3 linked regions of the Medicago truncatula genome follow. The protein of the gene in region 1 interacts with the protein of each later gene in a pairwise test. Links are inferred from orthologs where the notes say so. Each region holds a gene or a part of one and is shown in the gene's direction. Other genes may lie near its edges.

Region 1 (11,208 bases):
AAGTCAATCTGTTTTCACAAGTTATCCTGAAAAACTTATGGAAATAAGCTGAAAATAACCTATAGACATGTCATAAGTTGTTTTCATAAGCTCTACCAAAAAGTCTCAGAAGTGTTTTTACCGGTTGATAACCTCAAATAAGTCAATCTAAACAGACCCTAAATAAAAGAAATGATGTTAACTAAAAACACAAGTTAAGAAGCATTTCAACCAAATACTCATATGAAACTCAGCCAGCTCTTTAATACAGAAAACAAAATCATAATCTTAATATCATAACTTTAGACAGGATCAAAGAAACCACTTCAGCATATTCAAAGTAGACAAATAAAAAAGGAGAACTTTTGTCAACCTGAGCATATGCATCTCCTTTATCATATTTTGTGATTCCATAGTTGTAAGTCAATTCCAGAACAGTAGTTTTTTCTTCTGGACCATAACCCATTATTGCAACAGTACACTGCCAAAAAAGAAGGGAAGCAATTACAAGATTGCAGGTTATGTGATGGAGATCAAATGCCTAAATCAATTTTCAGCCAACAAAGAAAGCAAGGTTGAAACTAAGAATTGTAAAGATGGAAGTTCTCAATATATATAATTCAAAATCAAAAGAATCTATCAGCACAACACAGTTGAAGATCTGAACAAAAATGAGAATAAATTGAAAGAAGTGTGACTGGGCTACATGCTCATCAGAGGTTGACATAGATAGTTTAATCTTCATCATAAAACAACACTTTCGCTACCGATCCATACGAAACAGTTGAAACATAATGTTTTGGTAATTGAGAAGGTGAGGATCAATGCCTTATGAAATACAAGAACATTCAGCGGTAAGTAAGTTAAAACATAACCCATTTGGGGTTGGCCTGGTGGTTGGCTTGGGATCTTGGAGTTTGCTCCTCTCAAGGTCTCAGGTTCAGATTCCCTCTGGTGTCAATTTCGGTGGGCTAGTCCATACAAATCTTTGCTTTGGCTTTAAATGGGCCCTCCACAAGTGGGCGGTGGGATTGGTCCCCTCGGATTAGTCAGTTGATGGACCGGATACCGAGTTTTAAAAAAAAAAAGTAAGTTAAAACATGAGACAATTTTTTTTATAGGAAAATGTTGGTGGTTAATTTGTTAAAGGCGTTGGGGGAGAGGGGGTTTGATTACCCTAAGCTTAATTTATCCATTCAGATTAAATTTTATAAGAAAGTTTAGGCATCAAGAGTCCCTCCCATGATTAGATATAAACAATAAATCCTAATCATCTTAATTGCTGAATTCAAGGTATATGAGTTACAAAAAAGGCATCAGAGCCAGGATATATAACACAAAAATGATGCCCAGGTACCTTGGATTCTGGATCATCTTGTTTACGAAGCAACTCCATACCAACAACCTATACAACAAGCAATCGCATAAACAAATTAATGTTTTGTATAGGAAATGAGAAGACTATAATCCAACATAAAGTGCATTGGTTCTCACCTTCTCGTAAAATTTTATGGATCGATCAAGATCACCAACCCGAAGCATTACTTTGCACAGGGGTTCGGGAGAGGGAGCCCTTTCCAAAAGTTCAAATTTATAACCATCAGGGTCTTCAATAACTGCAACAGTTGAGTCGCCTCCCTTGACCGGACCAGGCTCTCTAGTTATTATGCCACCCTTAGCTCTCACAATGTCCACGACTCTTGAAATCTAGTAAATGGTTACAAGGACAAAGAAATTTCATTGATGCATTGGTCAAAAGATCAATAGAGGAAATTCAAAGAAATAACCAAGTCCAAAACTACAACTATGTTTGGGAGAAGGGTTTCTTATCTACTAGCATACACACTCGTGAGACTGTTTGAGGGAGCTTATGAAAACAATTTATGACATGTGCATAAGTTGTTTTTCGACTTATTTCCATAAGTTCTACATGATAGCTTGCGGAAACAGCTTATAACTTATATTGAAACAGTTTGATTTTACTTTATCTTTTGTTATAGAAATAGCTTATACATAAACAGAGACACTATTATGATAAGCACTTAATTAAGCTGTTTATCCAAACAGGGCGTAGTTCAAACGCAAAAATACACGTCAACGGGAAATAACATAATTTTAGAGGGGAGTTTTTTCTATACAATGATGAGAGTAGTAGGCATAGAAGATAGACAAGTAGTCATAAAAGCTTGAGAAACTAACATCATCCATAGCAATACCATAATGGCCAAATCCGGTTCCAATGTCATAGGTCTCAATCCCATAATCTGAAACATCATCAAGAGAAAAACAGTTTTAACATAAGAATTTCCATTGCTCGGGGATGTTAAAGTAACTACAAAGAATGCAAAGTTCTGTAATTATGAGGAAAGTCAACAAGTTAGTCGATTCTCACTGTATGTTAGTTCAATCGCAAAGTGTGCATCCTCAGGGCCGTATCCAAGAAAGGCATTAGTATATTTCTCCTCTGTCATGTCACGTTTTCTGAGCACCTTCATTCCAAGGCACTCTGTATAAAATCTGAAATCACCAACAAGTTTTTGTTTTTACCATGAGAATGTTCACAGTAACAAATAAATAAGTTTGCAACTAAATTACTAATTCGTATCAAATATAACATACTTTATGCTCTTGTCGAAGTCACCAACACGATATACGACATGAAGCATTCTTCTCTTGTCCCACTTCACCCAATCTAATGCATTTTCCTGTGTAACAGATTGAGACATGCTCCTTGATGCCATCACTCTCATACTTCCACTATCATGTCTCAACAACCTAGATGCTTTAAGACCAAAATTTTGGGGCAGTAGTCTAACACCTGAATTACAACCCAAAAGCAATCACAGTTCATTAACCTATAATACATACCTATGAATTACTAAATTTTATTTTTTTTATAAGCATTGAGATAGGTTAGGCATCAGGGAGAGACATAAACATCCCAACTAGGTTGGCATGAAACTGAAACTCCCATCCTCTACTGCCTGCTCAATATATATTATTAAAAAAAGGAAAAAATAAACGCATGAGAGGTGACTAGACCAAAACCCTCAAAAAGCGTAAAGAACAGTAATGAGCCACAAAACCAACATTGTTCCCCATAACGCCCAGAGATTAGGCAATAAAGCGTCCCTATGAAGATGCTACATTAGGTACACACTTTCAATATGCAACAGAAATAATATCAATCACTCCCAAAAACACATGCCATATGTCAAATTGTCAATATAATGCCAAATGCAATCAATTTTCCCAAATTATTACAGGTGTGAACGTGTTAGTGTTGTGTCTGTGTTGGTGTCAATGAAGCACCAACACAAACATGTGACATGTGTTGGACATCGGACTCTTCAATATGAAGTGTACGTCTTGGGTAGATAGACATGTGATACATTCAATTATTCAATTTTCTCAAACTATTACTGATATCAACGTGTCAGTGTTATGTCTAGTGTCCGGGTCTGTTTGAGTGTTTCATTATCATTAGCATCTACATATGCAGGACACCAGACATGTCTCTAATATGAAGTGTCAATCCCACCTAGATACACATCCTCAACATGCAACAACAACACTAATACAAAATCTTTGTCAAAAACACATTCCATTATGTCAAATTATCAATACAACAGCAAATGCAATCTAATCGCAAACTAACATAACTTCCCCATGCAAAAATAAATCAAAAAAACAAAAACCCATTTTTAAATTTTCCATAAAAATTAAAATTTACGAAAGAATGATTGAAAAAGACAAAAACTTTGAGGAGTATTTGCCAAAGGGTCAACGAATAAACTTACCATTACGAAGATGAAAAAGAGAGAATCTCTGAGAGAGGTTGCGTGAAGAGAAAGAGGGTAATTTGTTGAGTGAAGAGAGTGATGGACGAATTGAAGAAGAAGCCATGGAAAAGGACTGTACAGAGTGATGTGATGATGAATGTGGAAGATGAATTTTGAAGGAAAAATGTGGAAGATGATGAATATAGAAATATGAAACTGAATTTGCAATATTATAGGGTTTAATTCGTTTTTATTAGTGTGAAAAAAGGAATAAATGATTTAACTAATAGTAGTAAACAAATGATTCGTTTAATTAAGTGTTTTTTGGGAAATATGTTTTTTAAAAAAATTATTTTTAGAGGAGAGAGAAGATAAATGACAGAGGAAAGTTAATTTTGTAGCAAAAATTTCTTTTATTATTTTAACATATTTAATTATGAACTTATAATTTTTATTCGAGTTCATCACCTTTCAAATAATTTATAATTGATTTCTTTATGAATTTATAATTGATGCAAGGACCTCCTTAAAAAATAATTGATGCAAGGATCTAATAATAAATTATTTAAAATTTTAAAACCTAAATTATTTATTTTTTAAGTACAAAAGAGAGATGAAGTTTAAAGTAAAACTATGAAATTAAACAAACATTTTTAAACATGTAAATTCTGAAAACATTATCCAAGAAGTTCATTAGGAGGAGTCCACATAATAGTATAATTTAAAGAATTTAAAGAAAAGTTAAGGTTGGTCGGCCAATCAACACAGTAGTTTTCCTCTCTCCAAAGTGTGGTGATGTTGGCTATGTCGATCCAAAATAAAAGATTGTGAATGTGCCAAACCAAAGTGAGAATCCTCCCATTAAACATGTAGTCATTTATAATCATTTTAGTTAGAATTTTGAAGTCACTTTCCTATATGAGATGAGAAACGGTTCCTTCCACACAAGATCCAAGTGGTGATAGATATACATCTCAACATAAAGGACATCATAAGCTCCAATCTTCTTTATGTAACCTCCTATCCATCTCCAGTTAGAATTGTGAACAACACCACACCCTAAAGTATCACCAAGTCCTCTGGAGACCCCATCACTATTAGGCGTTGTACCGCCATCAAGAGACTTTTTCCTATCAATATAAATCGTCTCCTTAACATTAACATTTGGTTGAAGCGGCTGAAAAGTAAATATCTAAATCTCCATAAAAAAAATTGTATTTGTTAATATTATAATGTGAGTGAGGATCAAATTATTGATCTACTTATATTGTTTAACTTCTTAACACTTTCACTTTAACCACTAAGTCAATCTTATATCTGATCAATTCTTTAAGAAAAAGAACAATACATAACGTTCTCTCCTAAGTTTTCCTCTATTGGATTGAATTCTATTCGAGACACTAAATATAACCAACGAAGTCTTATTAGATCACAATCATTTGAATACATTATTTATACATGTAACAAAATACCTTTTTTTAAAAGAAAAATATATATCATATAATTATTTTAATATTTAATTTTATCACTTTTTGCATTTTCTCAAATGCATGACAAAAAACAAAAATGTTCAACTCTAATGGTGTGTTTGTTTGAAGAGAGTTACAAGAGAGAGAAGATGGGAAGAGAGAGATAGAAGAGAAGTGTCCAACTTCTCTTGTTTGGTGGAGCAGAGAGTTTAAAGAGAGAGATTAATTTTGTGGGCCCTTGCCACCTTTTCTTTTCTTCACAGTCATGAGAAGAAATGCAGAGAGACAAACATTTTTTCCCATTTTTCCATTATTACCCTTTTAATTTGATACATATTGTCCATGTGCTAGGTAGTTCTTCAATAGGGTACACAATGAGTTTTTTTATTTTTATTTTTTATTTTTTTATGGATACATGTACAATGACTATGACGAACTTAGTAAATAATTTGTTTATAGCAACTAGTTTTTGTAAACAACATTAAAAATTTATTTTCATTGAAATTTATAACATAAAATTGTGCATTGTTTTTTTTTTTTATGTAAGAGGATAGTTTTGTCATTTCAAAAATTAAACATACTTCTTTCTTTTCTTTCTCTCTTCTCTTTCTCTTATATCAAACAACACATCAAATCCACTATATTTATCATCTATTTCTCTCTTCACAACTTCTTTCTCACCTATTTCTCTTTTCACAACTTCTCTCTCAAACCAAACACACCCTAAATAATGTGTCTAAATTCATGCGACCAACTAAATATTTTTCGATATCGACCCAATTCCCTCTCGATTAGGATTTCGACCTGGTTGGTTAGACTATAACTTCTTTTACTATATTAAACTCCAATGGTTACTTTGTTTTTTCTTTTTTAATAAAATTTTAAATTTAAAAAGTAATTTTTTTTTATGACATGGTACGGTCATATTCATAGCAGCTTCACTAAACCATGAGAATCACATTGGCAAATAAACATTGACAATTTTATTTTTATAATTTTAAAATATTTTTTTACCAAAAAAATATATTATCCTTATAACCAAAATTTTCCCTATATTTTTGCTTCCACTATCAATTTCCACTGATCTCTGCATAATGAAAACCTCAATTAGGGTTTGATCAATCCTCTCCCAAATCAGGTATTTTCAATTTCCCCTTTTACCCTCTTTCTCTTCTGCACTCTCCAATAATTTGCATATAAACCCTAATTTCAGTTTTTCACAATTTTTTCTTAATATTTTCCCCAATTATCTATCTCTCAAATTAAGCTTTTATACTCCGATCGGATCCTGAACCATTTTTTCTTACCATTCAAGGAACGAATTGATACTATAAAGGTTTGATTTTGATGAACAGAAGTGGTTGATCATATAGCTATAGATTTGGTGTATTCTAGGGTTTTGAGCTGCTTCTGATTGGAGTTGGAAGCAACAAATAGTTGAAATCAGTTGAAAAAGAGTTGGTGAGATAGGGAGGATTTAGATCAGGATTGAGGTGAGGTTTTTATCTGATTCATATATACTCGCTTTTGATGCTTCTAAATTTGGATGTTTTTTTAGTTGAATTTGGTTACTTGTTTGTTGTTTTTATTTGAAAAGTAGATAGTTTTGTGTTTTGATTTTGTGGATTGTTAATGGAATCTGATCTGTCATTGAGTATAGAAATAGCAATGAGTTGTTTACTGTTAATTTTGTGTTTGAGTATATGAAAACTATGATTGTGATAAATGTTGAATTTTGATACGTGGTCAATGTAAAATGTTTTACTTCGTCAACGGATCACAACTATTCATGTGTGACTTCAAGAGTAAGGGTTTGTTTGTTACGGATTATAAAAAAAAGTGATTTTGATACTCAATAATTTAGAGATTAATATTTAGAGTTTTATAGAAAAAGCAGAAGCTGTATTGTATTTGTTTACTAGAATGAAAATCACAGTTTATTTTTTTTTTAAAAATAAATCAGTTATAAAAAAATGATTTTCTGATAAGCTACTAAAAACAGCTTCTCATTTGAGGAAGTTTTTAGATTTTTTTTCCTTCGGATTCTCATTTTTTTGAAATTCTGTAACAAACGAATGAAAATTTATAAAAGTGATTCAGTTGTCACAAACGATCTCTAAATAGAAATTCTGTAACAAACGAATGAAAATTTATAAAAGTGATTCAGTTGTCACAAACGATCTCTAAATACGATTTAAGTCAAACGTTTGTAATGTCTCAACTATTCCAGTTGATTACCAATGTAAATCATTTTTCATTGTATATAATAAATTAAAACCGTGTGTTAATATTTTAGTTATTTGAGTGTGTGACATGCAACTGACATGGCTTACCTTGTTTAAAATCAAACTGAATGCAGATATTTGAGGATGGTTAAATTGATGCGAGTATAGTATGGAAGATATGATGATTTAGCTATTTGATCTGTTTTGAATTTTGATAGGTTTGGAGATATTGCAATATGGAGGACGATAGCGGGCTTTAGCTCAGTTTGGCTATAGCTGCTAGTTTACAAAACTGTTAATATTTTAGTTATTTGAGTGTGTAACATGCAACTAATAATGGTTTGCCTTGTTTAAAATCAAACTTAATGCAGATATTTGAGGACGGTTAAAAGTTGATGCATGGGTTTAGTGAGGAAGATATGATGATTTAGCTATTTGATCTGTTTTGGATTTTATAGGTTTAGAGATATTGCAATATGGAGGACGATAGCGGGCTTGAGCTCAGTTTGGGTTTATCTTTTGGTGGTTCATCAGCCAAAGCAAAGAGTAAGAATGGAAGCTCCTCCGATACTAGGGGAGAAGAAAACGGTAGAGGTGGCAAGATGGTTGATGATTTTAAGAGCATGTTTAATACCGATCCTCAGAAGCCTGAATCAAGCGGTGGGAGCCGAAGGGCTGATTCCTCAAAGCCCGAGGAGAATTTCTTTAGTGACCTTTCAAAGGTCAATGACGATAATGCTTCTTTGAATTTAAATGGAAGAGGATTTCTGGTTGGAAACAACAATAATAAACCAATTGAAATTGAGGAAAATAAACGGTCAGAGGCAGTAAATAAGCGAAGGATGTCTTTTGATGACATACGGAATCTAAAGAGGCATGACAGCGACATTCATCATGGTGATTTACATGACAGGGCAAGAGCATCTCACATTTCTTTAACAGAAGATGGTTCAACTGCAGAAAATGAAGACGTGGCTGATTCTGAAGCTGAGAACTCTACCTCCAGGCCTCTCTCCAACCATAGTGATGGTTCTAAAGGATTCATTAGGGTCGGTGCTTCTTCTGATGCTTCGAAAGAGGTTCGTGGAGTCGCTGACTCAAGCGCCAATGGGCAGAAGAGATTTACCGGATCCACAGAAAAAGATTTCAAGCATGCAAACATGACTTATGGTGCTCCCTTTTCTGCTCAACAAGTGAATATGATGAGTGGACCTTACACTTCGGCAAAAGAGTCAAACTCTGTTGGGGCACCAAACCCTCAAATACCTGGAGTGATGCATATGATGCCAACTACAACCGGTGAACGTGCAGGAGCTCAATCTGTGAGTAATGGAAGCTTGCCGATGATGTTTGGACATCCATATGTTCAGCTTCCCATGTTGGATAAGGATAGCTCATGGGGACGTCCCCAACAGTTTCATCCTTCCTTTGCTGGGAGAGGTCCAGCTAACTCAGGTAATTGTGATTTGAATGGACATTATTTCTAATTAATCAAATATACCTGACTCAGAACTTCAAAGATCTAAGTCAAATTGATAAATTGTTGGTTAAAATGTTTTGTAAACTGAACCAAATATTCTAAAATTGGTTGGAAGACTTGCATATTGAATTGGGTTGGATCTGATTTATATATGAAAAGTTAACGATTGTTATAGACATTTGTTTTTCTTTTTCATGCGCAAGCTCTATTGTTGTAGCTTGATACTTACCGAGTTTTTATTGGAAATTACATTATGTCATTATTGTGTCGATGCAGCTGCGTTACACCTAAACAATATATCCGAGGCCATGCCATATGAAGGCAGGCCGCTAGAACGAACCAAAGGTGATGGAAAACAGCGTGTCACTGAAGAAGGCTCCTCTTCACAGCCTGAAGACGTGAAAGGAAGCAGCACAAACCTCAGGGGCAAAGATGCACCAGAACAGCCGAAAGGTGAAGGTTCCACCATTGATTTTTCAAATATTAAGCCAGGGCTTACCGCGGATGTGAAATTCGGAGGAAGTGGTTCCTACCCAAATCTGCCTTGGGTATCCACCACAAGCTCAAATGGAAGGACAATATCAGGTGTTACTTACAGGTACAACACTAACCAAATCAGAATCGTTTGTGCATGTCATGGTTCTCACATGACTCCTGAGGATTTTGTTCGTCATGCAAATGACGAACAAGCCAATTCAGATAGCAATTCGGTTTTGGGAAGCTTACCAAATGGTAATCTTGGTTCCTCTTCTCACAGTTAGATTACTATCATCTACCCTCCAGGTTGTACTCTATATATTGTAGTTCTCAACAAGAGAATCTGGAATTTCCATAATTTTTGTGGAGATGAATGAGTTTATTACCATTTTTTTTCTATTTGTCTATTTCACTTTATTTACTTGCAGCAGCTGCAATCAAAATTGTAGTTGTATTTAATAATGGCTGAGCTTTATAGCATCATCTATTATATTAAATAGTAATTAAGCATGTAATTTTGTCGTGTAAGTTTTTTTTTTTTTATGAATTATTATACTTTGATGGTATACAGTTATTTTACACATCATCCGATGATGCCTTGCCACGTCAATTTTTTGACCCATGAGTCGTCATATTCATTCATTGACACGACAAAACATAATTGGATGTATGTGTAAAATAATTGTACAATGAGAGAGTATACTAATTAAACTCTTTTTACTCAATTTAAATTTTAACTTTTCCCTTGACATTAGAGGATTTAGAAAAGAGAAAAAAATGGCTTGAAAATATTTGAAATGGATTGGTTTTTAGAGCCTTACTAGCTATACCTAGAAAATATAATACGATAGATTAAAAAGGGTTATGACAAACTTCTAGATTCAAAGAATGGTATCATCATCTATATAAGAGATTCTCACGCTGACAATGAGAGTTGAACCTACACCCTTGCAGAGATGAGTCAACTTACCAATTCCTTCAAAAAAAAAAAATACCAATTGAAGATAATTTTTTACTCTCACTTCGAAAGTATATTTTTGAGAAAAAAAATGTAGTTTTTTGATTTTATACCGCCAACACATGTAATTTTTTTGAACACAGGTCGGGAAAAGAAACTCCCAAAATAATTATTTTTACTTTTATTTTGCAAGGTTAAATATCTCACCAAGGATTAACACAAGTGATTGGTGTGCATGGTTTGTGAATGTTGTGAGTTTTAGAATACGAGAAATCTTAACGAGACACTCTTTAAAAATCTTAAATGATATGATTTTATAAGATTTTGTAGATTCAAATGAATTGAAAATGGAATCATTTGACCTTTTAAAAAAATGATTTTATTAATTTAAAATCCTTAAAATATTTAGATCTCTCTTTTCTCAAATGGAATTAAAAATCCTATCCAACAACCATTTTCCTTTGTTTTCTCCACGTACTAACGGAGCCTCATTTATTGCAAGAGATAATAATAATATAGAAAGAGATGAAGGCTTGTGCCAACTTTTATTCTTGTTTTATTTTTGGACTAATTATCAAAACAACTTTTTAATATGTCTACAAGCTTTTCTCTAAGTTATTTCTATAAGCTCTTCTTAATATAGCTTATCGACACAAGTTATATATAATCTCTTATGTAATAAGTGATTATTTAATGAAAATTTAAATTCAGAAGTAATCTCACTTGTCATGACTTAATCCCAATATATAAAGATATAGTATATCAAGCAATGTTATATCACACTATCACGTATCAATAGCATTATCCCTTTCTTCTATTTCAAGCAGTGTATAATAAT
Region 2 (10,749 bases), about 7.8 Mb from region 1:
AAAATAATTTGATGTATATATGTATGTGGTTTTTCCAAACTACAAAATTAATATTTAACTATTAATTGTTTGTTTTTAAGAAAAAAAAATATAAATTTTTAAGTTTGGAGGGGGGGGCATTTTGCACATACGTGCAAAACTTCAGGGGGATATTTGCAAAACGTCATGTTCACTAACAGAAAAATTTGACGGATGAGGTAAATTGACTAACATTGTGAAATTTCAGAGGGGTAATTGAAGTTTTGTTAATTTCAGTGGGGTAATTGATGAAACTTACAATTTGGGGGGAGGGGCGGGGGGGGGGGGGGGGGGGGGGGGAATTGACTATTTACTCATTACTTTATTAAAGACAAAAATTAAACATTATACTCCCTCCGTCCCTCAATAAATGACATAGTTGACAATATACATTATTGACTTAATATACTTTGACCATATTTTTCTACTAATTCACAAAGATAAATAATATCATATAAGATATTGTTGGAATCGTCTCGATGAATATTTTTAAAATATTAAGTTTTCATAATTTTTTTTAACAGAGAATTGAAGATATCAAAGATAAAACATATGCATTGGTACGTGTGTCGAAATCAACTAGATCATTTAATATGAGACGAAGAGAGTAATATACATTACTAGTGGGTTAACATGTCTAAAGATCTATGCCATTGAAAACTTCTTTCCAAATCCAATGGCTAAAAAGCATTTTAGAAACCAAAAAAAAAATGTAGTCACCTACGGTAGAAGATCCATTGAGGTCTCCTACCGTAGCCTAAGCCCCTAAATGGAGCAAAACTGCATATGAACAATAGAAAGAAAAGAGAATTTTTTTAGGGAAAAAATGTATGATGTATACGTATCTTTTATGATTATTTTATACCACAATTATTGCAATTAGTTAAGAGAGGAATTGTAACAAAAAAAAAAAAAAAGGTTAAGAGAGGAATTAGTTATTGTTAGCTAATAAATGTTAAAGTTAGTTCTGAGTTAATGTAGTTTTTATTATAACATGTAATATCTTTTATATTTGGTAACTTTTTGATAGTTAAATTAGTAACGACTTAGTAATCAAAACAGTAAAAACTTGGTAGTTTAGACTTTTGTTGTATATATGCATGTTCAAGCAATGAAATATGCATGTTCTATCCCTAGCCATTTACCCTAGTCGCCATCTCTCTCTCTCTCTCTCTCTCTCTCTCTCTCTCTCTCTCTCTCTCTCTCTCTCTCTCTCTCTCTCTCTCTCTCTCTCTCTCTCTCTCTCTCTCTCTCTCTCTCTCTCTCTCTCTCTCTCTCTCTCTCTCTCTCTCTCTCTCTCTCTCTCTCTCTCTCTCTCTCTCTCTCTCTCTCTCTCTCTCTCTCTCTCTCTCTCTCTCTCTCTCTCTCTCTCTCTCTCTCTCTCTCTCTCTCTCTCTCTCTCTCTCTCTCTCTCTCTCTCTCTCTCTCTCTCTCTCTCTCTCTCTCTCTCTCTCTCTCTCTCACACACACACACACACACCCCACACACACATACACAAACACACATTTTCTACTAACCCTAGCCGCTGGCAAAATTGCCTTCCTCCTTCCTTATGGCTAAATTTGATCCTGCCTCGCCAAAATCCTTTACTGAAACTCATACTCTTGTTTATTCATTTGGCCAACACTAAGTATTTTCATTTTTTTTTGGGTTATCCGTCCAACCATAAAGGATATAGATGTTACAAATTGTCGAGTCGTAAAACAATCATTTCTAGGCATGTAAATTTTGACGAAAATACATTTCTGTTTTCTACCTTCAGCGCTCCTTCAACATCTAACTATGATTTTTTGGATACAAGCGCACATCCTTTCTTAACTCCCATAAAACTTATCCTCATCAAAGCACTGCTAGAACAAACCAACACACCCCTACTGTAAATGCTCCTCCATCGACCACAAATACTCCATTCGTAAATACCATTACTATGAGTCCTACCTCTGAACAAATGCAATCGCAAACACAGACTCTCAGCCCTTCCCCATAACTGACCTCACCACAAGCTTCTAACTAAATAATTTCAACGCATACCCACCTCACTCACCTCAAATGACCACCAGAGCACAACATGAAAATTTTAAGCCTCTAACTTTTTAATCTTTATACCTCATCTCCAAAATCTAATTTTTCTTTGCCCATCAATCCCATTTATGCATTACATGATCATAATTTAAAAATGGCCATGAAAGAAGAATATGACGCTCTTATTGAAAATAAGACGTGGGACTTAATGCCATGCCCATCTAATGCTAATATTATTCAAAGTTTGTGGACTGTCAGACATATATATATATATATATATATATATATATGATAGATCCTTTAAGAGGTGCAAATCCCATCTTGTAGGTAGTGGGGTCAGTTAAAAAAATGGTATTGATTATAGGGAAACCTTCAACCCCGTAGTCTAAGCATCCACTTTTCGGATGGTTCTCAATGTTATTATATCACTAATCATAGTGTTTTCACTAATTAGATGTCGAGAACACATTTTTACAAGGTAATCTTGATAAAACTGTCTACATGTATCAACCACCAGGTTTTCACAATCCTTAACATCATGATTATGCATTCTTGCTAAATAAGTCACTCTTTGGACTTAAACAAACACCTTGTGCTCGATATTAGTGACTTACCCACTACGTTGCTAACTTGGGTTTCTCTAACAACATCTCCAATCATTCCTTATTCATTTGCCACTGAGGTAATGATATAGCTTATATCCTTCTCTATATGGATGATATCATTCTAGCCGCGTCCTCATATTTCCTTCAATAATCCATGACATGTAAATTGCTCTGAATTTTCTATGAAGGATTTGAGTCCTCTTAGTTACTTTCTCGGTATTTCTGTTATCAAACATACAAGAAGTATTTTTATGTCACAAAAGAAATATGTCGAGGAAAATATTGAGCGTGCGGGTATGGCTTCTTGCAAACCATCTGCTACACTAGTGGACACACAAGTGGAACATAGTGTCTCTTTTTGCAACCCATATCATGATCCAAGTGAGTATAGTAGACTTGTTGGAGCCCTACAATACTTGACCATTACAAGACTATGTATCTCTTATGTCACGCTACAAATGTGTTTGTTTATGCATGATATAAAAACAAAACATATGTTTGCCTTCGATATATTTAGGGTACTCTTGATTTTGGTCTCCATCTATATCCTTCCTCCATTTATAAGCTCATCACATATACTGATGCAGATTGGGATGAATGTCTAGACACCATAAGGTCTTTCTGTATATCTTGGGGACAACCTCATCTCTTGTCTACCAAACAACAACCTATATTGTCTTGATCCTATGTTGAAGCTGAATATTGAGGAGTCATGAAAGTAGTATCTGAGTAATGTTGACTTAGGAATATTATTTTGGAATTACATTGTCATGTCTCAAAGGTTATATTAGTATGTCGTGATAACATAATTGTCGTGTATCTCTATGGTAATATCGTTCAACATAAACACACTAAGCACATTGAGATTGATATTCATTCTTCAAAAAAATTACTTGTGGCCAAGTTTGTGTGTTATATGTTCCTTCATGATATGAAATAGTCGACATCTTCATTGAGCACTTTCCACGGCAACTCTTTGATGACTTTTTACCTAGTCTCAACATTCGGCAACTTCCAATTTCAATTACAAGGATGTATTAGAATATGAAAATACATTTTAAATTTTGCATGTATCTTTTATATTTGGTAACATCTTGATAGTCAAGATAGTAACGACTTGGTAATTTTACTACCTAAGATTGTATGTAGCTTCGGCAGCATATGATACTTGCGCTTCTTCATGGAGGTACCACTGTTACCCAGATGGGCTTGTAACCCACAGACGTGGTTCTAAACCCACACCACATGCGTGTTTGTGGCTTCTAGTTTATCATGGCAGTTGGTTCATGGTGGTTTGTAGTTCATGGTGGTGTTGGTTTTTATGATGGATCTCGTCGTGGTTTGTGGCGGTGCTTATGGTGGTTCGTTATAGTTTGTGATGGTAGATTTGAATCGAGATCCAAATTTTCGGTGGCTGGTGAGTTTCACAAGTGTAAATATGTTAAAGTACCAATGTCTAGTTCGTTAGATTAGGCTCGCCAAACCTATCTTCTTTTTCTCTTGTTCGAGGAATTAGGGAGCTGAGCAAGACGTGGAGATTGATGTTGTTGGTTTGGGAGTGAGAATGTTAATGTTGATTTTGTGTGTGGTTGTAAGTTTTAGTTGTGGTGATGGTGATGACGAGTTTGTGGGTTGGTTTTTTTTTTTTTTTTTTTTTGGGGGGGGGGGGGTTTCTTTTGTTTGTCTTCCATTGTCTGCTTGTAGTGACCTTCAAACTGGGTCCATCCCCGCCACTAGCTCTTTTCCCATTGTTGGGTTTTTTTTTATTTTTTTTTATTTTGAGTGTTTATATTTGGATTGACTTTGAGTTGGACTCTTTTTCGAGCTAATTATGTTTGCGCCACCGCTTCCACCTGTCGATTGTCTGAGGGATTTGTCTTCATGATTCTTATGGGCCGATCGCTTTTGCTTGGAGATCAGGAATTAGTATCTAGTTTCAAGTTTTTGGGATATTATGGTGTATTCCAGTGTACTGGAGTTTCAAGGGATGCATTTAGTGATTTCTTTTATGGAGTCTTGTGGAGCGATCACTTTTGCTTTGAGATCAGGATTCTGTTTCTAGACTTAAGTTTTTTTTGTTTGCTTGGTGTTTTCTCTGGCAGGCTGTGTGTCGGTTGCTTGGGCTCATATGAGGTGTGGTTATAGGGTTTTGGTCAGGGTTTTTTTTTTGGAGGAGTTTTGGTGCGAGTAGAAAATTTGGATGAAGTTTTTGTTTTTGTTGGTGTGTCGAGGTTAGACTTTGATTTTGGTGTTGATGGTTAGTTTTTGTATTGAGTTTTGGTGGTATCCCTCGGTTGGATAATATCTCTATTGGTGGTTTTTATGTCTGAGATGTACAAGTTTTCTTTTGATTGTTCAGTCTATATGCAACACTCTTTGTTTGTTGTATTTTTATCTTGTCTGTCTCTATTTATCTTGTGTAAGGATGTTTATTTATAAAATTTTGCCGTTTAAAAATAAAATTAAAAAAGCTACTTAAGATTGTAATTTAAGTACGATACTTGATGTTTGGTTTTACCATAAAAAACACATGCAATCAGAAAAATAACCAAGTTGAAGATGTCTACTCACTTTCTGTTATGTCTATCAACAGTAACAACCATCCTGCATAATCGATTATCTTTTCATCCAACGGTTCACATGTATTTCACGTTTCCAATGAGTCTTTTCATTGTTTCCAACCTAATATTTAGTTTCCTCTTTACAGAAATAACTCTACTATAACTTTTGTTTGAGTTAATTACTAAATGATTTTTATAAATATTCAAAACTTCAAATTTAATCACTACAGAATAAAATTTAATATTTTTTAGTCCATGTAGAATTATTGTCAAGACTTTTAGTCTTCGTAAAATTTCCACCAACATTTTTTTCGTCTTTCTAAAATTTTCTTCAATAATTTTAGTACTTCAAAATGCCAAAGAAAAATGTTACATGGACAAAAAAAAAATGGTTTTAATTTGTATGGATTAAAAGTAAATTCTAAATATTTATACAAATCATTTACTTAATTAAACTAACATACAGAAGCCCTGCGTTTGTTATCAAATCCATCATATTATAAATTTTTGAAGGAAAATGCATCATATTATTATTCACTTAATTTTAAATCTTACAAAAATTACCAACTTAATGGTGTCATATTATTATTCACTTAAAAGCATGTTTTTAAAGAAAAAAATTGTCAATTTATTATATAATAATTTGATAGACTAGATTGATATACATCCAACAATTTGCACCTTTTTTTTAAGGAAACAATTTGCATATTTTATTCTTTTATGTTCATTATTATATATATATATATATATATATATATATATATTTCTGTTGTGTTCTCTCTCTGTTACTACTTTTTTCTACTCTCTTGCTTTCTGTTTTCTCTCCATTCACCACAACCAAACACTTCACTTTTCTCTGCCTGGTCTTTGCACTTGTCAAAGTTTTATTCTTTCTGCAACTTTGAAGAAAAATAAATTTGTTGTTATCTGATTTTTTCACCACAAATGGAAAGAGAATTCCTTGGCTTCAGTTCCAAAAATAGTCCATGGACTACCATGAAAGAAGATGCTTCCAACAAACCAAAAGACCAAGGTATCAATTTTCATCTTTTTCTATTTTCCATGAAATATTTTGCACTAACACCTATTATTATGGCGATGTGAAACTTGAAAATTTTGCATTTTCATTAAATTAACTAAAACAGCTGTTTTTTTTTTTTGTCTTTTATATATATATATATATATATATATATATATATATATATATATATATATTTGGGATTTAAGTTTTATATTTTTATTTATTATTTAATCATGCATGGGGATTTAAGTTTTATGTTTTGAATGAATTTTTGTTTGTTGTTTCAAAGATGAAAAAATGAAGAAAATTTAGCTTAAACTTGTAGATAATAATAAGGGTTATGCTATCAAGTGTCCTAAGGGTATTATTGTTTAACAATTTTATTATAAAATTTTTTATCTTAAAAATATAAGTTGAACACATGTAAAAATAATAATTACACAAATTTTTATATTAAAATTACTACTTTTAATTGTTTAAACAATGTTTTAAAATATTTGTTAACATATTTCCCTGATAATAATATAATAATGAAGAACAAGGAAGAGAAGAATGAATTTGTAGCCTTATGTTCTTTTGCTTTTTTTTCCTTTAATGGATAAGATTAAGTTCAAAAATTTTAAGGTTTCATAGGGTGAACTTGTTTAAGGTTATCTAGTCTAGTTAAAAGACATTTTAGCTGCAATTTGCAGCCTCCTATGCTACATAATTGAATTAATAAGGTAAAGTATATATCATACAGCTACTTATGTTTGCAAGGAAAATCTTATATTAGCACATGGCTAGGGCCATGTGATACTTATGGTTCAAAGTTGATGTTTGATGTGTGGTATTTATTGTTCAAAGTTGATGTGTGATGTGTGGTAGGGAATAGCAACTTGCAACTGTGTTGTAAGAGGGAAGCCACAATTATTGAGCTAGTTGATATATAGTCCATGTGCATATAAGTTTGAATTACATACATTACCACCCATTGCATCAAAAAGAAAAAAAGTGTGTTGTGATATAGGGTCAAAATAAAATAGATGTGGGTCACTTGATATTTTTATTTTACACTTTTTATAACTTTACCCTATTGATAAAAACTGTTTTATTATAAATATTTATTATTTTATTTCTTTTTCATTGATTAGGTTTATGTCATTTTTTCTTTTTTTTTTAATCTATCTTTAGCTCAAACATAAATATTACATTTTATTTATTTAAATTTGATCATAAAATAAATGAATATAAAGTTAAGCTCATGTAAAATCTTAAGACTGATTATTTATAGAAAAATTAAGAGTATAATTTTATTTTAAATAATTTAGAAGCAAATATAGCATCAACATTTCATTTAATTCTATGTATCAATTGGTCGAAAAGGTTCAAATTCAAAGTCATTCATATTGGTGGATGAAGGCAGCTAACATTGTTTATGTGTTCGGGATTCATAGTTGGTTTGCTAGTCCTTTGCTTTGTTTGGGTGTAGGCTACATGTGTTTGATTTTTTTGTCTCTGAGTCTTTTGACTAAACTCTTGTATAATTATGATCGTTCTCTTCTAGCACTTCTTGTGCGGAAGGAACAAAGTCTTTGTTGTTGATATAAGTTTCATTTTTGCCTCTTAAAAATAAAACATTTCATTTAAATTTGTTTTTTTACAAAATTCATTTAGTTTTTTTTTAGAAGGAAACCATTTTTTTATAAAATTATTATTAATTTCTATGTGTTAGTGTTGATCAATGTGGTGTACGTGTCAATGTGAGTGTGAGACACATTTCTTGCTTATAATAATAAATTATAAATTGTAAATGCTATATTTTTTTGGTTAGATGGTTGGTTACAAAACTTATGTTAGAAAACGTGCTCTTGGTTGTTTGGTGGTGCTCTTTATTCTTTATATATTTTATTGCATAACGTGGTCCTTCATTTTCTTGATTTTGATGCAAAATTATAAATATTTAAATGCTTAAAGAAATACATACCACTATCGTATGTTTTTTAATATAAAATATCGTGGATCCTGATGTATGAATGAGAGTCTAAAAAGAATAAAAATATGTGCCTTTATCAATGTATATAAACAAACAAAAAAAACAAATCACCATGTTTAATATTAAATCTAAGGTCTAACATGGGCATTGATGATGCATGCATAGCCTTGAGAAATAAATAACATTTTTTTTATGTTAGTGACAAGCTGGTTGCAAAGAGGTGCACATAAAATATTCATATACAAAGGAAACATTTAATAAAAACAAAGTCATATCATAAATTATTGCAAGCTACTAAGAATAGTACCATTTAGTACATTATATAATTATATTATATGATGATGGACTATGATTAAATAATACTATGCTTCATAAGGAATTACAATTTTTTTTTCTTGCTACTTTTGTTATTGTATTTTAAATTTATATGCCGTACCTGGCCAGTTATTACCTAGATAACAATGAAAATAAACTAATAACAAAGTAACAAGGTCACATGTGATATGATTATATATAATATGTAATATAATCTTTTAAAAAACATGGACTCTGGATTCTTGTGATGAAAGTTCTACAAGAGCATCTTCTAAATATTTTTATGGTAGATTAATTTTTTTATTATTTCATAGCTGTTGCTAAAGTTTTTCTATTTATTTATTTTGATGGGTTAGATGAAATATAGGTTTGTGTGACATATATCATATTCATATGTGTCTATATATATTGAAGTATAGTTTACAACACTTTGTGATCTTAGAAAGCTTGATGAACAAAAATTTCTTAGTAACTTAGATCATTGTCAATATAATCATCATTGTGCTTTTTCTTTGTTTAAAAAGGTATTTTAAATCGATCCAAACTTGTTATTTCAAATATTTTTTTTTTTTTAAATGTTGATTTAGGTGTTAACATAAATTATGTTCTTAAATTTGATGCAGTTAGGAGTTCAGGAATGCAGTGGTCATTTTCAAATAAGGTTTCAAACCTTCCTCAATTCATGTCATTCAAGAATAACACTCATGAAGATAGGTCAAGAAACAATGTTATGGATCCAGTAGCTTCATCTGGATATATGACTATTTCAACTAAAGATGCTTTTGATTCTAATCAGAAATCATTCTTGGGTGTGACACAGGTTGGTTTTTTCTCTTAATAAAGATTTTTATTTTTTATTTTTTTTTAACTTTAGAATCCTTTGTTTAAAAATGAAGGGGTAGTTTCATATATCAAAATAATTTAACCTTGTTGAAGAACATTGAGTGCTCGTTAGGTTTTAAGGTGAGACTTGAGTTTCTCAATACAGACTTGGTGTCTGTATTGAGAAACAATTTTGGTTTCAGATTAATTATTAGGTGAAACAACTATTTGGTTTGTGTTTGATTTGATGGTGATAAAAATTGATTTTAATTAAAAGTGAGTTGAATGTAAAATGATTTATGTTTCGATAGATTTATGTAAAAGTGGATTAAATGATATATTCGAGTCTAATAATCAACTGTAGAGACAAAATGTAGAAATTATAGATTCAAGTTAAAATGAATTCTACTCGAGAACATTAAATAGGTCAAAATCAATTTTATATCTTTGTAATTAAGTTTTATTCCTCCAAGAGTGGAACCAACCATATACTTTTTTATTTTACTTTGAAGTTGAATTACTTCTAGCTTTTTTCAATTTATATATATATGCTAAAACTTTTTTTGGTAATTACACACTCAAAAAAATAATTGATTTAAAATATTCAAACAACATATAAATTCGTAAAAATAACTTTTACGTGAATGCATCTAATTATAAACAACTTTACATTCAATTCATTTTTAATCAAAATCAATTTTCACCGCCGCATAACCTAATACACATTGAAAGTGTGTATCTATAATTTCTTCTTTAGCTAATTTTTTTAACTTCTTTTGATATTTTGCAGGAAAATTTGGCCATAAAGCAAGTAGGAAACAAGCATGGAATTACAATTTATCCTATACAAAGTTCTGATGCACAATCAGTTTGCAATCAAGAAGCAAGAACAATTTCAGTTTCAAACCAATCTAATCATGTTATAACTGGAATCAACATGGTTAATTCAGTTACAAACTCTCAAACTTTTGGTTCAAAATCCTCTGCCACACCTTTATCTGTTCTTCCATCAAAAGGTCCCATAGTTGGCTCTACTGACTTAAGGTATCATAAATTTAAACATTTGAAATAAATAATTTTTTTATTTCATTGAAAATATTTTTGCGACCAATTTAAAACACATGTTTTTCGAAAGTGTACTTTCAGACAACATATTTTGTTTAAAAGCTATAAAGCATGAACACTCCTCATATTAGGCGTGTCCCGGTGTCGGACACTTAATTATACTGAATTACGTAACTTTCTCAAATTATTAGCGGTGTCGGCGTATTGGTGTTCGTTTTGTGTCTGATATCCTTGTCTGTATCCGTGTTTGATAGTTTAAAAGTGTACTATCAAGATTTTTTTTTTATGATATGATATTGTGGAGCAATGTAGAGTGGAACACTAAGAATTTTTTTGTTTTCTTT
Region 3 (10,743 bases), on another chromosome or scaffold:
ACTCTTTGTCCTTCTCTCAGGCCTAAAATACTTGACAGAATCAAGATATGAAATGTGTACACAACGCTGATTTGGATTGCCGCATTCGGAGCCGAACTCCTGGGCGTACATTCCAAAAATGCATATATCTACTCCTTCAATCTGCTGAAACAGAAGAATAACCTGAAAATACAGACATAATAGAGTAGACATCAAGAGAAATTTAGTTCTGAAGATGCAATTTGTGGTATATTTATTTATTCAATAATAAACCACTGAACTTACTCTTGATCTATAAGAGAATTCGGCAGGGTAATTTTCCTCTGGAATGATGTCCAGAAACAGCTTATTCACTTTCAATTGTTTGTCGACAGATAACACTTCTCTAATAGAAAGACTTTCTGCTGCTGAAACCTACAATTTTGCAGTAATTCAAGGCACATACGTAAATAATCTAGAATTTTCAAATCAATATATATTTGGTTGAAAAAGATCAATAATTTTATTAACATGACTGAATACTAATTTATAACTATTATCAATTTACTTGCTTGCATAAGAATAAGAAAATGTTAAGATATTTGAAGTTTATGTGCATACATGCTGATTTCTCAGTATTACCTTATCAAGATTCTCATTCCCTTCAACTTTTTCCCAGTTTGCTCTCTCTTCTACGAGACGCTCAAAAAGTCTTTTTTCCAAGTGGTCACTAAGCATGGTTCTTGGCAAGTCCTTAGCACCAAAATTAGCAGCTTTTGGTAAAGGAACATGAATTCCGTTTTCAATTTCTTTTAAGCGGCATACAGGACATATATACTCAGCACTGGAATCCAAATCTCTTTTGTTGTTGTAGAGTGCACATATTTGATGCTGCCATCTTTTGCATTTATTGCATTCAACCCACTAGAAGAAACAACAGTCGTAAAGAGTTAATATATAGTTGGGTTAATAGGTCTTTACCCCCTGTAATATAGGTCATTTCCGGTTTCCCCCCCTGTAAAATTATTTTTTTGATTTACCCCCTGTAATTTTTTTTGTTTTTATTTACCCCCATAATAAGCCAAACAAAAACGGAAATTTCTTGAAAAAAAAAATAAAACTGGTTTTTGTTTGGCCTATTAGGGGGGTAAATCAAAACAAAAAAAAATTACAAGGGGGTAGATCAAAAAAATAATTTTACAAGGGGGAAACCGGAAATGACCTATATTATAGGGGGATAAAGACCTATTAACCCTATATAGTTCTCTGTATATAAAGCTGAATTATATAGCAATCGATATTGAAACTTACGGGTTCTTCAAAAACTTCATCGTTATTCTTTTTTTCGAGATTTGTCTTAGAAACAAATGCCCCATTGAATGTAATTTTCCCACCTTTAGAAGTTTTATAACACACGGAGCAAATGCAACCCTGTGCATCAAATTCTTCTTCTTTTCTACAAAAATAGGTTCTCCTGATGCGTACGCCACAACATGAACAAAAAATTGGCACTGGTGCAAAGTAAAGCTTTTTCCTTTGACATAATTGGCATGTGTTTGCATCAATTCCTGCTTCCTCCTTAGATGTAATCTGTGTTAAAAGAATTGTTAACTTCTATATGGCTTAAAAATTCAAAAGCAAAAAGAAATATGTATATATGTAAATTGCAGAATAGAAAATGTAATTTTAATAAAAATCACAAACTAAAAATAAATTTAATTTTTTTTTGCAGAAATTGACAAATGTATATAAAATCTGTCAGCTGAGCATGCACGCAAATACAGACATTCAATATTTCACGATAACATGCATACGTAACATCCAATGATTAAAAGAAGAACCATTCATGAGCTTTAACCAAATAGCTTTACCTTTTGGAATAGTTGGTTCATGACATAAATCATAACAGTCATACATAAACAGATCAAGGTAATTGAAAACACTGGCAGGTGGTGTACTAACCTGAACAGATTCCTTTCTCAGACTACTAATATGTTCTTCTATTTGATCACGTGTGAACAAATCAATCAAGGAAACAGCCTCAACTATTGTATTTGGGGATTTTGTTTGCTTCTCTTGATCATCTTTTGACTCAATGATTTCTTTTTTATCGTTTATCCCATCCTGGATGAATCCAGTTCTGCCTTGAATGTCCTCTTCACCCACATGAACAATAATAAGTTCTTTTTTAGCATTTACCCCCTCCTGGATGAATCCAGTTCTGCCTTGTATGTCCTCTTCATCGTCATCAATATCTTTAAGCTCCTTCCTGAGAGTAGGCCTACTGTTGATTTCCATTGAGTTTCTGCTGTATATCATGCCAGACTCTAAGCCTTTTGAGGGAATCATTCCAGACTCGATAGTCTCTAACTGTTGCTGCACTTCTGAAAGTGTTTCAAAAGAACAAGATTGAGCCATCTCGTAAGTCGATTGATCAGAACTTGCATCATTAACCCAAGAGACGTCAAAAGCAAACTCTGTCATTTTCTGTCTTTTCGTAGGTTGTAACATGGCATGAGTGAAACTGTTCTGAAAATCCAACTCCTGGGATTTATTTCGCCTTGTATCTTCCAGTTCTAAGCACGAACTCGTGCCAGGAGAAAGATTGGATTGTTCCGAAATATCCGCTGAAACAAGTTTAGGGAATGTCGAATGTAAATCTTCAAATTGAATGGACTTTCCCATTGAAGTAGGAAAACTCGTAGACTCGTTATTTTGGATAAACCCCAAACAATCTCTCTGTTTTGACAGATTCATCTCCACTGCAAAAGTAGCAAATTAAATGGGTAAAGCAATGCATTTGTTAAAAACAAAAATAATTCTAGCAAAGAAAGAAGCACAAAGTCAGTAATATGCAAAGATGAAATCAATATTGCACGAATAAGGATTAAAAATTGGGGAGAAATCACAATCTAATTTAAACATACCATTATTTGCGTGTTTCAGAGGAAAATAGTTGCTACTTGATCTGGTGTTAGCATCCAGATTGCTTCCACCATACAAAACGGGTAAGTTAGGAAGCACACACATATCAGCAAGTAGGGGGGTTGGCGAACCATCATCAGGAACGCAAGGCAGGCCATGAACAATAAAAGGGTCAGATAGTCTCCCTTCTGGAACGTCATAATAACCAGCGGCATCAGACTTGGAAAGACCCACTAGAGCTTGCATACGCTGATTCAACGTCTCTAGGTTCATATATTCCTCCTGCCAAATTCGTAGAAAAACAACTGTGCTTAATTGACAGAATACAGGTATAGTTTGCATTTTATACTATTATATGCAAATGTTGTTAGCAAAAAAAAGCACTTTATGTTCAGACACAACATTTCAAGAAACAAACCTTTGAAGCAGCAGTGGTAAGTAGCAATAATTCCAGCATAGGGGCAAATTGCTCATTCTGAATGATTTCAAAACTGAATAAAATTTATAGTTAGCATAGTCTCAATTCAATTGCAATCTTAAGTTGAAGCAAACTGAAGCAACCACGTTTCTATGAAAATTAAATCACTTTCACTTACATTCTTTTTCTTATCCAGTGACGGTTGTATGCCATTTCAGGATGATAACGCCAGTCTGTGGAGAATCCTGCTGGATTACTTACATGTTGACTGCATAATTTATCAAAACATCTCTTTTGCGGAGTGTTTGAGACAACTGATGAAGAATTTCTTGGCAATTCTCTCCAAATATTCCCACCAAGTTCAGAACCCTTCGCAAGCATCTTTTCAGCTTATCAGAAACAATTCACATTCTGAAGCCACAAAAAATAATACACAAATATCAGTTAGAGAAAATTCCAACAATGTTCTTGACGCACCATAAAGAGGGAAAACATGATTATCATAACTTTAAACAAGCTCACAGTTAAATTTGTCAAAATTTATCAAGAATTCGTTTATTAAGAACCCACATTTATTTGTTAATTCATTCAGGTTGAGAATGTGAATTAAATCGATTAATGAAAACGGAAATTAAGAACAAGATTGAAGTTATTATGATCAAATGATAACAATACCGACATTGAAAAACGATGAATTGATTAAGGAGTGCGCTAAAAAGAAAAGGCCCAATTACAATGAATGAAATTAGGGTTAGGGTTAGGGTTTAAGAATTGGGGATAACACTGTAGAACACAAAGATAACGTTAGAGAGAGAGAGAGAGAGAGAGAGAGAGAGAGAGAACAACCTGTATCGCTGAAGCTGTTGTTGTTGTGGTCCCTCCCTTGTGTCTCTTTCTTTATTCCTCTTCTTAACTTCTTACACGAAGGAGTATTTATATTCTTAGTTTAGGGTAATCTCTTGTTTAATTTAACATGAAAACAACAAGATAATTACGAGATTAATGTGATCCTCCTCATTTGTAATACTATGTCGGTTTCGAAATGAATGTCGTTTTAGGAAATGCAATAGTCTTGTCTATAGATTTGACATTTTTACTAAAATAGTCTTATTGACTATTGGTGCATTTCCCATCATTATAAATTAAAGTAAAATGTGGTACTTTGGAAATAGTGTGTGCGTAGTAATAATTAAGGGGTATTATTGAGAAAAAGTAATTAATAGTACATTGAAAACTAAAAGCGACATTCATTTTAAAACATCTTTTTAGCTAAAATTAGACTCAGTTTGAAATGGATGGATTATTAGTCTAAGATATGGTAGTGGTTTTTGTTTGTTGACAACTTTTAAAATAATGGTTGTTCTTAACTTTAACTTCTGAACAGTATTTATTTTTTGTTTTATTTAAGTTTTACATAATTTTTTTTTTTTGGAAATGTTAAAAGGAATTTAGGGCACTAGTTTTTTTTAGGGAATTTAGGACACTGGTTAAAAGGATAAAAACATAAATATTGCATTGAGAGATTGTGAAAAATGATGGATTTTATGTTTTAAAAGTTAAAATATCGTTGAATCAAATGTAAGTCTCCTACTTTTTGTTTATTTTACAAATGTCATAAGGATAGTTATTTACATAATCATTTTTTTTTATTATAAAAGATTGAGATAAATCTTCAGTATATAACATAGGGAAATGATGAAGGGTGTGATAGAGAGTATCTTAGACACACGATGTTTTGATCTATTAAAAAATAAGTATTTTTCATAATAGACATAACAATACTTACACAACATAAGATATAACAACACACGGTAAACTTTTAATATATCAAACAATTTTTTATTTTATATGATGTTTGATAAACAAAAGATTATTTTTGTCTTTTAAAACTTGTACTTAAAAAAAGTGTTATGGTGTAGTGATGAATACAAATTTCCGTTAGTCGGACCTCTAGTTTACTATATCTCTAGAACAATTTTAAAATTAAACACAATATAATTAAAGTTGTTTTAGCATCAAACGAGAAACTAAAGTGTTTAGCATGAAATAGTTAGCGAGTTCTCAATAGAAAGAATCGTTTGAAAAAACTTGAGTTTATTTTTTAGGTTTAATTGCGCTTTTGGCCCTCTATCTTTTCAAAAGTTACGATTTTAGCCCCCTAACTAATTAAAATACAAAACAGCCCCCTATGTATTGGATCTTTGGCAGTTTTGACCCCCAAAATATATGCCTCGCTTGGTGGACAAGGCCATATTTATCGATGCGGTGGTTGAAGAAAAATGTTGTAACTGTTTCTATTGAGTTATATGGGTGGTAGCAACGACCTTTAAATTGTTTGAGCGTTGATAAGATATTTTTACTTTACTTCCTCTTACCGGTGAATTGTTGCGTTTGAACTTTGTTGCTCTTCCTTAATCTTTTATCCTTTAATATAAATTGAGGAATGATATTTTGACAACCAATTTCCAACAACTTTTAGTGACAATTTTTTCCTCTCTTTTCATTGGACAATAACAATAGAGAGAGAAAAATGAAGAGAGAGAATAAAAGTACAATAAGAGTATGAGAGAGAGTTGTCACAAAAGTTGTTAAAAAATGGATGTTAAAATATCATTTCTCATATAAATTTCATCTTGCCTTGTTCAAAAAAAAAATGTCGTCCACACTTAAAAAAAAATCATTTTTTTAACACGTTGAAGCTTTGATGACTAAACTAGACAATATCTACGAAGGACTAGCACCCTATATCATTGTGTAATGTTCGGTATAGTTTAAATCAAGTAATCTTCTTCTCATACTCAAAGATTGTTGTTAATGATGCGTTTAATCAAGAGTTTTTGATTGCATTTATATTTTCTTCTCATATGAAGTTTTCTAAAAAAAAAAAAAAAAAAAAAAGCTAGTGTGATGATTCCAACTTCAATGAAATTTAAATGAAGGGTTAATGGGGTAAAACACCATTAACCCTTAAATGAAGTAGTCATTTACTATAGTGCAAAAAAAGTAGCACAGTACAAACTAAATTATTTTTTAAGCTGATATTTTACAAGGAGGGGTCTGAAAGTAAAAAAGTAAGAAGAAAAACTGACAAAAGGTCCCGAATTGAATTGATTACAGCTCAACTGAAACAAACGTTAGAGACACGAAGAGAGTGTGAGAATGATACAAGAGAAGTTTTGTACAAAAAAGACAAACATGCATCCATTAAAATCAACCAACAACAGAAAACTCCACAACTACATTTTCTAACAACACAAAGAAAGAACCTTTTGCTTTTTCACCGAAAACGATTGATTCATTCCTCTCTCTCTCTCTCTAGCGTACTTCACAGCTATGCAGCAGAGTGAGATGGGTAATCAATGGCGGTTCTGAGAATGGTTCACTCACACTCACAGTCTCAAAACAACAACAACAACAACATCAGTGGGACCCAACACTTCCTCCATGATTTTCTCGGCATGAAGCCAACTGATACTTCCATCGACGTTAGGTTACCGGAGGCATCAGCATCTGCCTCCTCCGCCGGTGCTCGTGGCCCTTTCTCCTCCACCTCCGAAACCGCTTCTGGTAAGTACTATTAAACAACTAAACTTTTCATTTTTAGCCACATTTCCCCCTTGTTTCATTTTTTTTACCGAGTTTATTCTCATCCACTAAACTTCTTTACTTTCCATTTTTTTCTCTTTTGGTGGGGTATCAATTTATTCCCTCATTTTTTTTTTGTGTCTTTGGATTTGGGTTGTTTCAAGTTAGTTGGAGTTGATTGTTTTCCCCTTCGTATGCAAATTTATGGTCATGATTTTCTGGACTTTATTTTGCTTTAGAGTATGGTGTATGATTTGATTATTTGTTTCCATGAAATAATTTAGACTCAGAGAATTGAATTTAATCATTTTATACTGAAAATACTATTATTTTGAACTGAAAACTTTGTTATGTCATGTGAATGTTTGTGCATTGGGAAGTACAATGATATGAATTTTTAGGTTTTATCAAAATTTTTGCTTTTGTGTTGGTCTGATTTTTCTTTTTTTGGTTTCTTATTCTGGAAAGAGTTATAATTGTAAACACACATTGTTTATAGTAAGTTTCTATGTTATCTTTAAAAGGAATGTAATGTTTTTTCCCTCATCAATTTGGTAGAAAAGCAGGTATCGAATCATCTTGAGGGAGTTCCATTCTATGGCCCAAGAAGTGATTTTTCTGGCACTGAGATAAGTAACAGACTAGTGGGGAATAAAAGAAGTAATTCTGATTCCTCATTTATGGGTTCCTCCAGAGATGCCTTTCAAATGGTCCCTGATTCCTTTCAAAACTCACATTTGATGAAGGTTACTTTAAAATATCACTTAATTCTTTTCCTCTAATATATTCAATAGCCAAAAAAAAAAAAACACTTTTGCTTTTATATTATTTTCTTTGATGTCTTAAGTCCTGTCTTCGTACAGGTCCTCCGAAATGCATCTGGGGGAGAGAGATCCAGAAGGCCTAATGATGACGAAGTGTTACTTGGTATGCAGTCAATGAAGCCATCTTCTAGTTCTCAGATATTTCATGCTCCCGCCAACACGAAGATCGATGCGAATAAATGGGAACGGTCTATTCTCATGAATGCTGGCCCTTCCATGCAGCATCCTCCGCGTGGAGGACAGTTGACTCCTTTTGCACACCAACTAGCTTCAAACAAGCTTAGGGATACCATTGTCGGCCCTTCATTTATCTCTCAGCCTGCCGCTGATGAAGGATCTAGAACTGGAATCAAAGGCCCTGGAATTTTAAGTTCCATAAACACAGCTTCTACTGCTACTGATAAAATCTCATCTGTAGTGCTGCTCGGTGGAAGCAGACCAAAACCTCTAACTAACATAATTGAATCATCCACGCCCCCAAGGTAAATTTATCTTATATATACAGTTGCTCAATTCACCTTGTTTCTATTTATTTTCACTCCCTTTACCTTGGAAAAAGAAGTTGATTGACTTTATGCATTTTGGCATTGAGCAGTAGTCAACATGGGCTAACAGCTGCCAGCCGCCAGATGACTATCTTTTATGGAGGTCAAGCTCATGTTTTTGATGATGTCCACAAACATAAGGTCTGACCTCGTATTCTTAACGTGTCATATCTGTTAACTGCATTTAGTGAAATAAGGCCTGAAATTAGTTTGGATTTGTGAATCATCATGGGTAACAAATTGTGCCTTAAAAAACTCGCTCTGCGGTTCATTCGTGGTTGATTTAAAGATCATTCAATCTACTTACAGTTAAATTTAAACTCATCAGGTTTCAGCTGAAATATGGTATTGATAGTCGGAGTTAATTTCCGTACAACACTTATGTTGCTGTTTCTACAGCCTATTTTGGTAGTCATTGCACAATATGGTGGATGTGCTGAACCTATAATATTTAGGGTTAATAGGTCTTTACCCCCTGTAATATAGGTCATTTCCGGTTTTCCCCCTGTAAAGTTTTTATTTTGATTCACCCCCTTGTAAAATATTTTTGTTTTGATTTACCCCCCTAATAGGCCAAACAAAAACGAAAATTTCTTGAAAAAAAAAATAAAATTTGTTTTTGTTTAGCCTATTAGGGGGTAAATCAAAACAAAAATATTTTACAGGGGGGTGAATCAAAATAAAACTTTTACAGGGGTGAAAACCAGAAATGACCTATATTACAGGGGGGGTAAAGACCTATTAACCCTAATATTTAATAGAAAAAGATTTCATAGCAACCAATCATACATTTGCTTAAGCTTTGGGTACACCGGTGGAGTCACTTTTGAAAACAGTCTTTTTCTCTTACTGGTTTAGTTAGACATTACTAGTATATAAAGTCAGCTTAGGGAGTGTTCTTTATAAGGAATGTATTTGGATGATAGTTTCTATGGATTTAGTTAAGACATTACTAGTATATAAAGTCAGCTTAGGGAGTGTTCTTCATCTTATTCTTTCTAGGATTTTTTTCTTGATCTTTTCAATATGTTTCCCCGCTGAAATTTGGAAGTTTTCAAAATTCTCTAAAAAAATGTTTGGCTTTCCAAACACATTGCTGATGCTAAGTTAAAGTTAAATTCACTTGTGTATGTGTGTTAGTAAGTAGCATTCTTTCATATACATTTTATTTCACTAGCGTTTTGCATCGAACACGAATCCATCAAGAAATTTAAGGCTGACTTAAAAATTAACAGAGTTGGCATTTGCAGTGAAGATTGTGTTAGACATGCACTCAGAGTGGACCAGTTGATTAGCTGTCTGTTCGTATAAAATTTCACTGAATGCAAACCTATGTTGTATTGAAGGAGCAATAAAGCCCCTTCCGTTGAGAGTGCATAGGAATGTGACAAATAGTAATCTGCATTCCTGAAATCTTAACCAAGCAGGGTCTTGACTCAAGCATTGCATTTAAGCTACATTTGGAAGAGCTCATTTGAGCTTATCTTATCACCTAGTCATTTGTATAAGTATTTGGAATTAACTTATAAAAATAGTATGCTATACCTATAAGTTGTTTTCAGCTTATTTTCGTAATCGTCATGATAGCTTATAGATGTGAAGCCTGGCCCAAGACCCCTCTTTGATTCTCATTCAGCCCAAACTCTAGTCTTATAGTAGTGAAAACAAGTATTAAAACCCAATAGATTTTTTAACATGTATGCCCAAAACAGTAGGGTGCAGGGAATATTCTGATTTCTAAGTGGGGTAAAAAAAACTGTAGTGGCCATCAATCACTTCAACTGTGAAATATCCATTTCAATAAAACGAGAAAGAAATCTGCTTGAAGTCCTTCGAAATGCGAGTGTGTTGCTTGATATTGTTTATTGGTTCCGAAAGTGTTGATCATCAGTTGTTTCCAGTGTTACTGTTAGACTTGATGTATAAATATTGGACAATCAGAAACATCACTGTTTTAATTTTTAATCCAAATCCAGTGAGGATCAGTTAAATTGTTATATCCTAAATTCTGACTTGAGTTGGCTACATGGATCAATCCATGCCTTTGGGCTTTATCAAAAACCAATTTTTCATTAAAATCATTTAGGGCAAACTCATTTTATAGGTTCATCTATTTATTTTCTTTGATCTTTCTTTGTCTAGTTCTTGTAATGGAATTTTTTCGAAGAGACACATAGTTTGTCTTGGGCTTGAAATCTTCACTAGTCATAACAGAAGGTCTTTTATCTTTCGTTCTGTTAAGTCATTCAGCTTATCATGACAATTGCACGCTCTTTGGCGTATGCAGGCAGATGTTATAATGGCTTTGGCTGGGTCAAATGGTGGATCTTGGTCGACAGCGTTCTCACCGAAATCTACTGCAAAGCTGGTCAATGATAGTAACTTGCATAGTGGAGAAAATGAAACAGGGTTAGTGAGTAATGTGGCATTCCCAGAAGAGCTTCATGGGAAGTTGTCTGCTGCTGGCAGTTCTAGCCGCGCCGTTGGA

Evidence for each region.
Region 2: the proteins of ninja-family protein mc410 (region 1) and protein TIFY 6B interact in binary tests that used the Arabidopsis thaliana proteins (3 or more experiments, as listed by UniProt). The link is inferred for Medicago truncatula from reciprocal best matches to the Arabidopsis thaliana genes NINJA and JAZ3.
Region 3: the proteins of ninja-family protein mc410 (region 1) and protein TIFY 8 interact in binary tests that used the Arabidopsis thaliana proteins (3 or more experiments, as listed by UniProt). The link is inferred for Medicago truncatula from reciprocal best matches to the Arabidopsis thaliana genes NINJA and TIFY8.

The regions. Positions count from the first base shown.
Region 1 is NC_053047.1:40,944,536-40,955,743, forward strand, and holds ninja-family protein mc410, read left to right. Parts: upstream 1-6,217; 5' UTR 6,218-6,368; intron 6,369-6,545; 5' UTR 6,546-6,723; intron 6,724-7,589; exon of another isoform or gene 7,590-7,673; 5' UTR 7,674-7,931; coding exon 7,932-8,910; intron 8,911-9,211; coding exon 9,212-9,696; 3' UTR 9,697-9,927; downstream 9,928-11,208. Other genes in the region: probable lactoylglutathione lyase, chloroplastic, read right to left, coding at 353-460, 1,337-1,384, 1,474-1,686, 2,179-2,243, 2,372-2,496, 2,599-2,797, 3,780-3,885. UniProt on the Arabidopsis thaliana protein: Acts as a transcriptional repressor. Negative regulator of jasmonate responses. Connects the JAZ proteins and the non-JAZ protein TIFY8 with the TOPLESS corepressors.
Region 2 is NC_053047.1:33,186,571-33,197,319, reverse strand, and holds the start of protein TIFY 6B, read left to right. Parts: upstream 1-5,972; 5' UTR 5,973-6,152; coding exon 6,153-6,240; intron 6,241-8,903; exon of another isoform or gene 8,904-9,042; intron 9,043-9,141; coding exon 9,142-9,338; intron 9,339-10,130; coding exon 10,131-10,384; intron 10,385-10,749. UniProt on the Arabidopsis thaliana protein: Repressor of jasmonate responses. Jasmonoyl-isoleucine (JA-Ile) specifically promotes COI1-TIFY6B/JAZ3 interaction. Acts as a negative regulator of MYC2 function. Feed-back regulated by MYC2.
Region 3 is NC_053044.1:53,326,063-53,336,805, reverse strand, and holds the start of protein TIFY 8, read left to right. Parts: upstream 1-6,402; 5' UTR 6,403-6,660; coding exon 6,661-6,868; intron 6,869-7,444; coding exon 7,445-7,632; intron 7,633-7,749; coding exon 7,750-8,192; intron 8,193-8,305; coding exon 8,306-8,396; intron 8,397-10,542; coding exon 10,543-10,743. Other genes in the region: histone acetyltransferase HAC12, read right to left, coding at 1-162, 265-393, 601-882, 1,270-1,548, 1,921-2,720, 2,886-3,165, 3,302-3,374, 3,480-3,682. UniProt on the Arabidopsis thaliana protein: Repressor of jasmonate responses.